Linked DNA regions of Stegostoma tigrinum. The protein of the gene in region 1 interacts with the protein of each later gene in a biochemical or structural test. Links are inferred from orthologs where the notes say so. Each region holds a gene or a part of one and is shown on either strand. Other genes may lie near its edges.

The links.
Region 2: the proteins of E3 ubiquitin-protein ligase XIAP-like (region 1) and septin-5-like form a complex in vitro, tested with the Homo sapiens proteins (4 studies listed by BioGRID, with this or other methods). The link is inferred for Stegostoma tigrinum from reciprocal best matches to the Homo sapiens genes XIAP and SEPTIN4.

What each region holds. Positions count from the first base shown.
Region 1 is NC_081368.1:29,300,684-29,305,767, reverse strand, and holds the start of E3 ubiquitin-protein ligase XIAP-like, read right to left. Parts: upstream 3,338-5,084; 5' UTR 3,073-3,337; intron 1-3,072.
Region 2 is NC_081380.1:14,006,759-14,011,842, reverse strand, and holds the start of septin-5-like, read left to right. Parts: upstream 1-1,851; 5' UTR 1,852-1,866; coding exon 1,867-1,902; intron 1,903-2,491; exon of another isoform or gene 2,492-2,581; intron 2,582-5,084. UniProt on the Homo sapiens protein: Filament-forming cytoskeletal GTPase. Pro-apoptotic protein involved in LGR5-positive intestinal stem cell and Paneth cell expansion in the intestines, via its interaction with XIAP. May also play a role in the regulation of cell fate in the intestine.

The DNA of each region.
Region 1 (5,084 bases):
TTTCTAGGTATACTGCTTTTACAAGTCTGTATAATATTACACCTGACCAATCTGAGGGATGTCATCAATTTTTCCTCAACTCAAACTCCTTGCCCCAATGATGTAATAAACTTACTGGTCCAAAACCACCATAATCTTGTACAACATTAACATTTGATTTTTCAGATCATCAGGTGGGGCAGAATGTATGTAACTTCAACATTAATTCTTTCAGAATCATTGTTTTAGACAACAATGCCTTCTGCAGCTCAGTCCCTAATCTCCAGAATGTCTTCCCTAAAGGTCACCTTCGATTGTTTTACTACATTAGAGACACTTTGCAAATGCAAAAGCAAAATACTGAAAATCTTGAAAATAATATGCTGGAAATCTTTTAATTCCACTCCCGCACATCCCAGATGTCCAAGTTCTTCAAGGACCGCAACTTTCCCCCCACAGTGATCGAGAACGCCCTTGACTGCGTCTCCCGTATTTCCAGCAAAACATCCCTCACACCCCGCCACCGCCACAACCGCCCTAAGAGGATCCCCCTCATTCTCACACACCACCCCACCAACCTCCAGATACAACGCATCATCCTCCGACACTTCCGCCATCTACAATCCGACCCCACCACCCAAGACATTTTTCCATTCCCACCCCTGTCTGCTTTCCGGAGAGACCACTCTCTCTGTGACTCCCTTGTTTGCTCCACACTACCCTCCAACCCCACCACACCCGGCACCTTCCCCTGCAACCGCAGGAAATGCTACACTTGCCCCCACACCTCCTCCCTCACCCCTATCCCAGGCCCCAAGATGACATTCCACATTAAGCAGAGGTTCACCTGCACATCTGCCAATGTGGTATACTGCATCCACTGTACTCGGTGTGGCTTCCTCTACATTGGGGAAACCAAGCGGAGGCTTGGGGACCGCTTTGCGGAACACCTCCGCTCAGTTCGCAACACACAACTGCAACTCCCCGTAGCAAACCATTTCAACTCCCCCTCCCATTCTTTAGATGACATGTCCATCATGGGCCTCCTGCAGTGCCACAATGATGCCACCCGAAGGTTGCAGGAACAGCAACTCATATTCCGCCTGGGAACCCCTGCAGCCTAATGGTATCAATGTGGACTTCACCAGTTTCAAAATCTCCCCTTGCCCCACCGCATCCCTAAACCAGCCCAGTTCGTCCCCTCCCCCCACTGCACCACACAACCAGCCCAGCTCTTCCCCTCCACCCACTGCATCCCAAAACCAGTCCAACCTGTCTCTGCCTCCCTAACCTGTTCTTCCTTTCACCCATCCCTTCCTCCCACCCCAAGCCGCACCCCCATCTACCTACTAACCTCATCCCACCTCCTTGACCTGTCCGTCTTCCCTGGACTGACCTATCCCCTCCCTACATCTCCACCTATACTCTCTCCACGTATCTTCTTTACTCTCCATCTTCGGTCCGCCTCCCCCCCTCCCTATTTATTCCAGAACCCTCACCCCATCCCCCTCTCTGATGAAGGGTCTAGGCCCGAAACGTCAGCTTTTGTGCTCCTGAGATGCTGCTTGGCCTGCTGTGTTCATCCAGCCTCACATTTTATTATGCTACATATACACATATATTTATATAATAGATCAGTGAAACATTAGAACCTTGGTGACCAGGTAGACAACTTTAAATTGCTATAGTAAATTAGTGTACACATAATGGACATCACGGGTATTGCATTGGAGTTACGGAATATTTACGCAAACAAGTCAAGTTGCACTTCTGTCTGAAACAGTTAGGCTGCATTTTGCGATGTGAGTTTTAATGACTCCCCTGTAGGAAAGGAATAAAAACAGTGAAAAAGGTGGATACATCCACTTCTTCTTTTGTTACAAAAGGTCAGCAGAAACTGTTGTCTAGAGAGAGATAGTTAAGATGGTTGGGTTTATCTTTTTGTTTCAGAAGATCCAATTTAAGACTGATAAGAAAACTCCTCTTGGCTGTCGGGTTTTGTTTAGCCACTATAAAAAGCAGAATTTCTACCACAATCTAATTTTACTTCAGTCAGAAAGCAGGCATGCAGGTTTTAAGTATTTTGCTTTTGGAGTATAATAAATTAAAAGTAGAGATGATTCAAGTGCTTGCAAGTATTCCACGGTGACTCTTGCTGATATTGTATTCTCCGGTCAGGCATTGACTTGCATGGTTACCTGAGCTGCATTAGAAGAATGCCATCTTCTGGTCACAGCTTTGTAGAATACAGAATAGAATTGAATATCCTTTTATTGTCAAGCGTCTTGGAAGTACAAGAGTACACAGAAGTTTTTACAATGGCTGCCACTAAAGGCGCCATCCTCGGTACAAGCACTGAGGTAAAAATTTCATACGGAACAAGAATAAAAGGAATAGTTGTAGCATTACATACAGTGTCTGACAAAATAGGTTAGGAATCAGATCATTATAACATAGTTAAAGAACTCACATTACAGTCAGGTAAAAAAAATTCAAATAGCAGTAACTCAGCATTGTGGTCTGACTGTATGTGCTAAGCGCCTGTCCAATAATTATCCCGCTCTGCTCCAAGTTTCCAGTCCTCTCTGCACCGGCACACAACTGCGCCAAGATAAATTGTGCTGTGCCAGGACTCGTTCCCCTCACGCTGCACCAAGACTTGTTCCCCTCATGTCGCACCAAGACCCGTTGCCCTCACGTTGCACCAGGACCCATTCACCTCACGCTACACCAGGACCCATTCCCCTCACGCTGGACCGGAATCGTTCCCCCCGTCTTGTATCAGGACCCATTCCCCTTGCGCTGTACCAGAACTCGTTCATCTCCTGCTGTACCAGGACTTCTTCATCTTCCGCTGTACCAGGACTTGTTCTCCTCATGTCGCACCAAGACCCATTCCCCTCATGCTGCACCAGGACTTGTTCCCCTCACGCTGCACCAGGACCCATTCCCCTCACGCTGCACCAAGACTTGTTCCCCTCATGTCGCACCAAGACCCGTTGCCCTCACGTTGCACCAGGACCCATTCCCCTCACGCTGGACCGGAATCGTTCCCCCCGTCTTGTATCAGGACCCATTCCCCTTGCGCTGTACCGGAACTCGTTCATCTCCTGCTGTACCAGGACTTCTTCATCTTCCGCTGTACCAGGACTTGGTCATCTCCTGCTGTACCAGGACTTGTTCCTCTCATGTCGCACCAAGACCGGCTCCCCTCGCGCTGTACCAGGACTCGTTCATCTCCCGTCGTGCCAGGATTTGTTAATCTCCCGCTGTACCAGGACTCATTAATCTCCCGCTGTACCGGGACTTGATCCCCTCGCGCTCCACTGGGACCCATTCCCCTAGCGCTGCAACAGGACTCATTCCCCTCATGCTGCACGAGGACCCGTTCTCCTCGTGCTGCACCGGGATTCATTCCCCTTGCAGTGCAGTAGGAATTGTTTCTCTGAAAGCTGCTCCAAGGATTCCAGAGCTCAGAAGCCATCAATTTTGACTAGGTTATTTAAAATTATTTAAACTGGGCACGCTAGGTTGGGTGGCAATACTGCCTATCAGATGGATCTGACGACTGAGTAATGGTCACAGAAGGAAGCATGCTTGTGCAGGAATTGAGGACAAAAAGGGGAAAAGATGGGGAACATGAAAGAATATAAATCTGAATTGTTTTTGTTAGACAGAAGAAGGTTAAGAGGTGACTTAATAGAGACATACAAGATGATCAGAGGATTAGATAGGGTGGACAGTGAGAGCCTTTTTCCTCGGATGGTGATGGTTAGCATGAGGGGACATAACTTTAAATTGAGGCGTGATAGATATAGGACAGAAGTCAGAGGTAGGTTCTTTACTTAGAGTAGTAAGGGCAACAGTAGTAGACTCACCAATTTTGAGGGCATTTAAATGGTCAGTGGATGAACATATGGATGATAATGGAATAGTGTAGGTTAGCTGGGCTTCAGTTTGGTTTCACCTGCGATAGATGCAACATCGAGGGCCAAAGGGCCTATACTACGCTGCGATATTCTATGTTCTATGTTTTCAACCAATATGCCATGAGGACCTGTATAAATTGAGCATAAAATTTTGATTTTCATTACCGATGTACATTATTAAACAATGTTTCATCTCAAACAATATTCTTAATCAAAATTACATCTCAAAACTCATTAAAATTAATCAACGAATTAAAAGTGCAGGATCAGGATTTTTATTCTAAAATGTGAATATTCTGAATGCATACGGCTCAAGGGAAAAATTGAGATGACATAAAAAAGTGGGTGCGCATGGAACTGTTTGCCTCACTTTTAGAGTGCCATGTTACTCAATAGGTTGCAAACTACTGCAGTAGAGAATGACAATATAACAAGTATTCTTGAAATGTGACTACTTCAGAACATGGAGCTAAATTCAGTAGTATAATCTTTTCAAAAGGGATCGAAACAAGGAGAATTTTCGAGCAAGCTTGGCCTGCTGCAACAGTAGAGAATGATCTCTCTTTGATCTTCATTACCAACTTATATCCTTACTTACATAAATCCTTCTATGTGGATTTTAGTTTATTCCTTTAAGTAAGTATAACCATTGCTGAAAATTATTGAATAAACGAACCATTTATCTTGTTGAAAGCAAAACTCTGTGCTGCCAGTTATTTTCACATTGAAACACTTCGTAATAAAAAGGGGGAGTTGAAATGAACTCCATTTCACCAATTTATACTTTACATGTGGGGAGGTAATTGACACTGCCTCCATAAACCCTAACTTGGACCTTTCCTAACTGATATTCCTGCTACTAGAATTACTACACTTTAATCTGATTTTTAACCCTACACTGTGGAAGGCCATTCACTGTATCATATATGCATTATCCAATTAATATCATTCAATTTATTTTCTCATTAGCCCACTGTTTACCTTTCATTTGGCTGCTACATACAATAACAACAGACAATAAGAAATAGGAATAGGAGTAAGACTATTCAGCGCTTGAGCCAGCTCCACCATTCGGTAGGATCATGGCTGATCCAACCCCATTCCTCACATCCACTTTCCTGCACTTTCCCTACAGCCTAGATGCCCCTTCTGATCAAGAATTGATCAATCTCAACG
Region 2 (5,084 bases), on another chromosome or scaffold:
TTCCCCCTGCCTCCTCTTTTTTTTTCTGAAGCTTCTCGGCCCGAAACGTCAGCTTTTCTGCTCCTAAGATGCTACTGGGCCTGCTGTGTTCATCCGGCTCCACACTCTCTCAGATTCTCCAGCATCTGCAGTTTGCATTATTTCTCGCAGAACTTTGAACAATTCAGCACTGGATAATGCAAGACTGATCAACCTCTTGTGTCCAAAAAAGTAAAAGATCTAAAGTATTAACATCATCTTTTGATGCAGTTTATAATTTGTTGAATATGTTTTTATATGTAGATTTTTGGTTATCTGACTATCTTGTCTCATTACTTTTCTTTCGCACCTTCCTTTCCCACCTATTATTTCTTTTCCAATCTTCAAATATCATTGAGTTATCTTAGATACTATTGACCTTATGACAACTTTGAGAGGTCACACTTCCAGAAATCTTTATGAACTAAACAATGCAGTCAAATATTTAATAAGATGCTCAACTGCAGCAAGATCCAGCTTATTGTCTTTCAGATCCTGTGTTTTACATATTTGTGTCAAATGTAGAATTATCCATTTTTTTTTCTTCAAATGTGTTCCAGTTGTAAACTGATCTTCAGAGTCCACTCAGATGGATAGGGATGTAATGTTAAAAACAAGCCTTGGGCTAGCCAATTAATTTTACATTACTGAGGCTCAGTCTTTCTTTCATTGTGGATTATTTGCATTTGTCGATGCTTATCTCTTTACAGAAACAATCCAGTTGATTTTTTTTAAGCCCATTTATGAAGTGCTTTAACATTTTAGGTTACAATTTGAATCCAAGCTGAATCTGAATTAGTACCCACCCTCAAGCATGGGTATAACTCTGATGTTTTACAGTTACAATATTGAAAGCGCAATGTAAAGTTGTCGCTTACCAATGCTGCAGTTGTAGCATAAATACCTTCTGATTACAATTCAATTTGATTCCCAGCTTGGAGCAAGAGCACTTTACTGAGTTGCATTAATGTAAATGCAGTGTCCAAAATGAGGAATAACTCTCAACAAAAAAGTGTATTCTCAATCAATACTTTCGAAAGGGAGCAGAATGGAGCAGTAATAAGTAATAGTCACATTTTGTGGATTAATAAGGGAAGCTGTTGTTTTGAGGCCATGAACACTTGTAAAATGAAAGAAGTGAAAGTTATTAGTTTCAGTGGTTTCCGTATATTAGAGCTAAACAGTTTTCTTTGAGTGGTTTTCTGAGTCTGTAGAAAGGCCGGTTGTCTCGTTGATTCTCACAGCAGATTAAACAAATTGGAAAGAGTTGGTGACTGGTGTTGATGGTGTACCCAGTACACACACACTAGATTTGTGCCAAATGAAAATTTCAAATGCCAGTGTTTTCTCCAGCTCTTCATGAGATGTTTTGACCAAGCACAGTTTTCTGACCGATCGTATTCTGTGAGCATTTAATTTTGTGTTAAGATGATTTAGTAATAGTCAATTGACATTGCAACCAACTGTTCTCCTCTTAATCTGTTTTATTTTGAAATCATTTTTAATCATGAGTAGCTGTTGAGAGAACGTGTGAAGTAAAGCTGAGAGTCTTGGTAGTTAAAGGGTTACTTTAAAAACAATTGTTTTGTCTACAACAGTAGACTAAAAGTATCCAGATATATATTCATATTTCCATCCCAGTTTTACCACTGGTAGATGTCAAGTGTTCCTGCTTTCTGTGCCCTATTGCTGTTGGGATGCACAATGTTATGATGATGGGTGGGAGTATGTCAATGAGACTGTGTAGTACCATCTGCTGGGAGAGCTGTGACTCATTGCAGTACTAGGGAACCAGCAGGCACTGCTTTTTCAGTGTCCATTGATTTATTACGGAGACTGACTTGGAATATGGCTTGTTACACAGAGATGTCAGGCATTGTAGAGGTATGTGGTTTTTTCCTTCTCCCAGTGCTAGCTGCCTCTAGGTCACTTGGTAAACAAGGGCATTAACACTTCCTTTTGACCAGGTAATCTTCCCGATAAACCTTTTGGACTGTTTATCTATACTGTTAGAGATTAATTATATGCCATGGAGCTGTAGCTATTCAAAAATCTAACTTGTAAAATAGCAGATATAAAGATTGTGAGTAATGCAGATAATTTTTCAGTTTTCAGCTTAAAAGTTGCAGTTATGACTTGATTAATGTAACATGAGGGTTTGAACTGTGTGTGCTTCTTTATGGTAAATTCAGAAAGCATAGAATATCCACACTTCAGTGTCAGTGCAGTCATCAGCTTGCACTTCATACGCTACTTACATATTGATCGGCTATTGTAATGGAATCTGCAACACTTAACATCCAGGAGCCCTATTTGGTGTTAGATTTGCACAGACACTACACCGTTGTTACCTTTTTACTGACTGACATTGCTAAAAAACATGCCAGTGTGAACTTTGAATGAAAACAGGATCAATCTGTCATACAAACCCTTCTAATGGATGAGTGGTCTGCTAACATCCCTTGTCATTTAGGTGATGTGATGAAAGGTGATCATTGCTGAGGAACATTGTTCAAGTTGATGCCTGTGGGAGAGTTTTAGAAGAAACTAGAAAACATTTTTAGTAAGTATGTGAACTGTCACAGTGGTGTTGAGTTTACCTCCAAGAGGGAATTGCGCCTGATGCAGCAATGTTTATGTTGGCTTCAGTGATATAAGCATTCGACATGGGTTAAATACTACTGGAAGATTCAAGAAATGTTTATTCATAATATAGATGTTATAGACAAAAATTGGTATGTAGGCTAATAATAACTATTTAGTTACAAAGATTAATGTGTGCTCTGCAATGAAGCAGTGATAATATTGCAGGCATATCTCTGGAAGATGCAATGTTTAATAACTGTGATACGAGCACAGCAATATTCTCCTGAGGATGGTACTTAACGTGGATAATTTGAGATGCACCTCTTCTGTCTATAAAGTGTTTTTTTTTGCACTGATTGATCTGTAGGGATTTGAGTGTAAATCTGTAATGGGCTGTCTGAGATATGGAAAGTGAATTTAGAATGTTTCATTGGTATTCTTCTGAGCCGCTGAGAGAAGTATAGTGTTGGAAAGCAAACCCAGATTTCAATTCCCCTGTCTGTTTGTCAGTACTGAGAATCACAAGATGGAGTGCTACAATTTTCCCAGTTCTGACTTCTGATCAGAAAGCTAATGTATTTCTGTGCCTACTCTGAGTGTTTCCTTAATAAATGAAGACAGGCTTCTGTCTCACTGCACATAGACTGGGGTCTGAATTATACATGAGGGATTGAATTGAATGTAGGTGACGTATGTCCAGCCCATTTGTACAATCTGATGGGAAAATTGTGCCACTTCTGCAGGGGCCCCATGTGCAATTTAAGCATAATCGGGCAGTTAAGTGGGCAGCATTGGTTATTCTGCAGATCATACCTTCATAAGGGCAGATACCCCAGCCTGAGTGCTGCCAGACAATCAAAGGCCAGTAGCCACTGACTGTGATGCTTTGCATCCTTCTCCAAGGGCTTTTGCTGGGTTCCTGGAGATGGGAGTGGGTGAAATCATAGACCATAGGGAAGGGCACTGGATGTGTAAGCACAGGGTGGGTGGCCCTCAGCTGGACTCCCCCACTTCCCTACACTGGCTCCCTCAATGCTTTCTAAATAAAAATCAGAAAATTGGTAAAATAGGCCTTTTGAGCCTAGACAACCGTTCAACAAGTTCTTGGCTGATCTTACATCTTAACACCTTAGTCCCATTCCCTCTTCATACCCCTTTAGCCTCCAGAAATTTTATCAACTACTTTCTTAATCATATTCAGTGACTTGTCCTGCATAGTTTTGTGGTACAAAGTTCCACGGGCTCACCACACCCTGCACAAATTCCTTCTCGTCTCAATCCAAAATAGTCTACTTTGTATCCTGAGATCGTGACTTGTTCTGGATCTCTAACCAAGAGAGAGATAATCCCTACACCCAGTCTGTCCAACCAAATTGGAATTTTTCATGTTGAATGAAATCTTCCCTAATTCTTCTAAACCTCAGTGAATTACAGGCCCAGATGACACAACCTTTCTTCTTGCAACAAACCTGCTCATCCAGGCAGTAGTCTGGTGATCCTTTTGCCGCACACCTCCCTGTGGTAATTATATTATTTTTTTTCTGTGAGACAACCAAAGATGAATGTAGTAATCCAAATGTGGACTCACCAAGGCCTTGGATAGGTGCAGGAAGATTGCCTTGCTCCTGTACTCAAATTCTTTTGCAAAGAAGACCAAGGTACCATTTCCCTTCCTAACTGCTGGCTGCATCTGTAAGCTGGCTTTCAATGGCCAATGCTCAAGGACACCCAAGCCCCTTTGTACATCGACACTACTCAATCTATCACCATTTAATTAATTTTTTGCTGTTTCCCACTCATGAATTTTATACTGTATCTGCCATGTGTTTGTCTACTGACTCAACTTGTCTAAATCACCCTGAAGTCTCTTTACATCCTCCTCACCATTCCCACTGCCACCTGCTTTTGTCATCCTTGGGATAGTGTCCTAGGCCCAACCATCTTCAGCTGCTTCAGCAATGACCTTCTCTCCATCATAAGGTCAGAAATGGGGATGTTTGTTGATGATTGTGCAATGTGCAACACCATTTGTGACTCCTTAGACTTTGAAGTAGCCCATGTCCAAATGCAACAAGATTGGGACAATAACCAGGCTTAGGCTGACAAGTGACATTCACACCATATAAATACGAAGCTATGACCACCACCAATAAGAGACAATCTAACTACAGCCCCTTGAAATTCAACGATGTTACCATCACTGAATCCCCTCCTATCAACATCCTCGGGGTTACCATTGACCAGAAACTCATTGGACTCACCACGTTAACGGAGTGGCTACTAGAGCAGGCCAGAAGCTGGGTTAACTGGGGCAAGTAACTCACCACCTGACTCCACAAAGCCTGTCCACCATCTACAAGGCACAAGTCAAGAGTGTGATGGAATACTCCCCACTTGCCTGGATGAGTGCAGTTCCAACTCAAGAAGCTTAACACCATTCACAATAAAGCAGCCTGTTTAATTGGCACTACATCCACAAG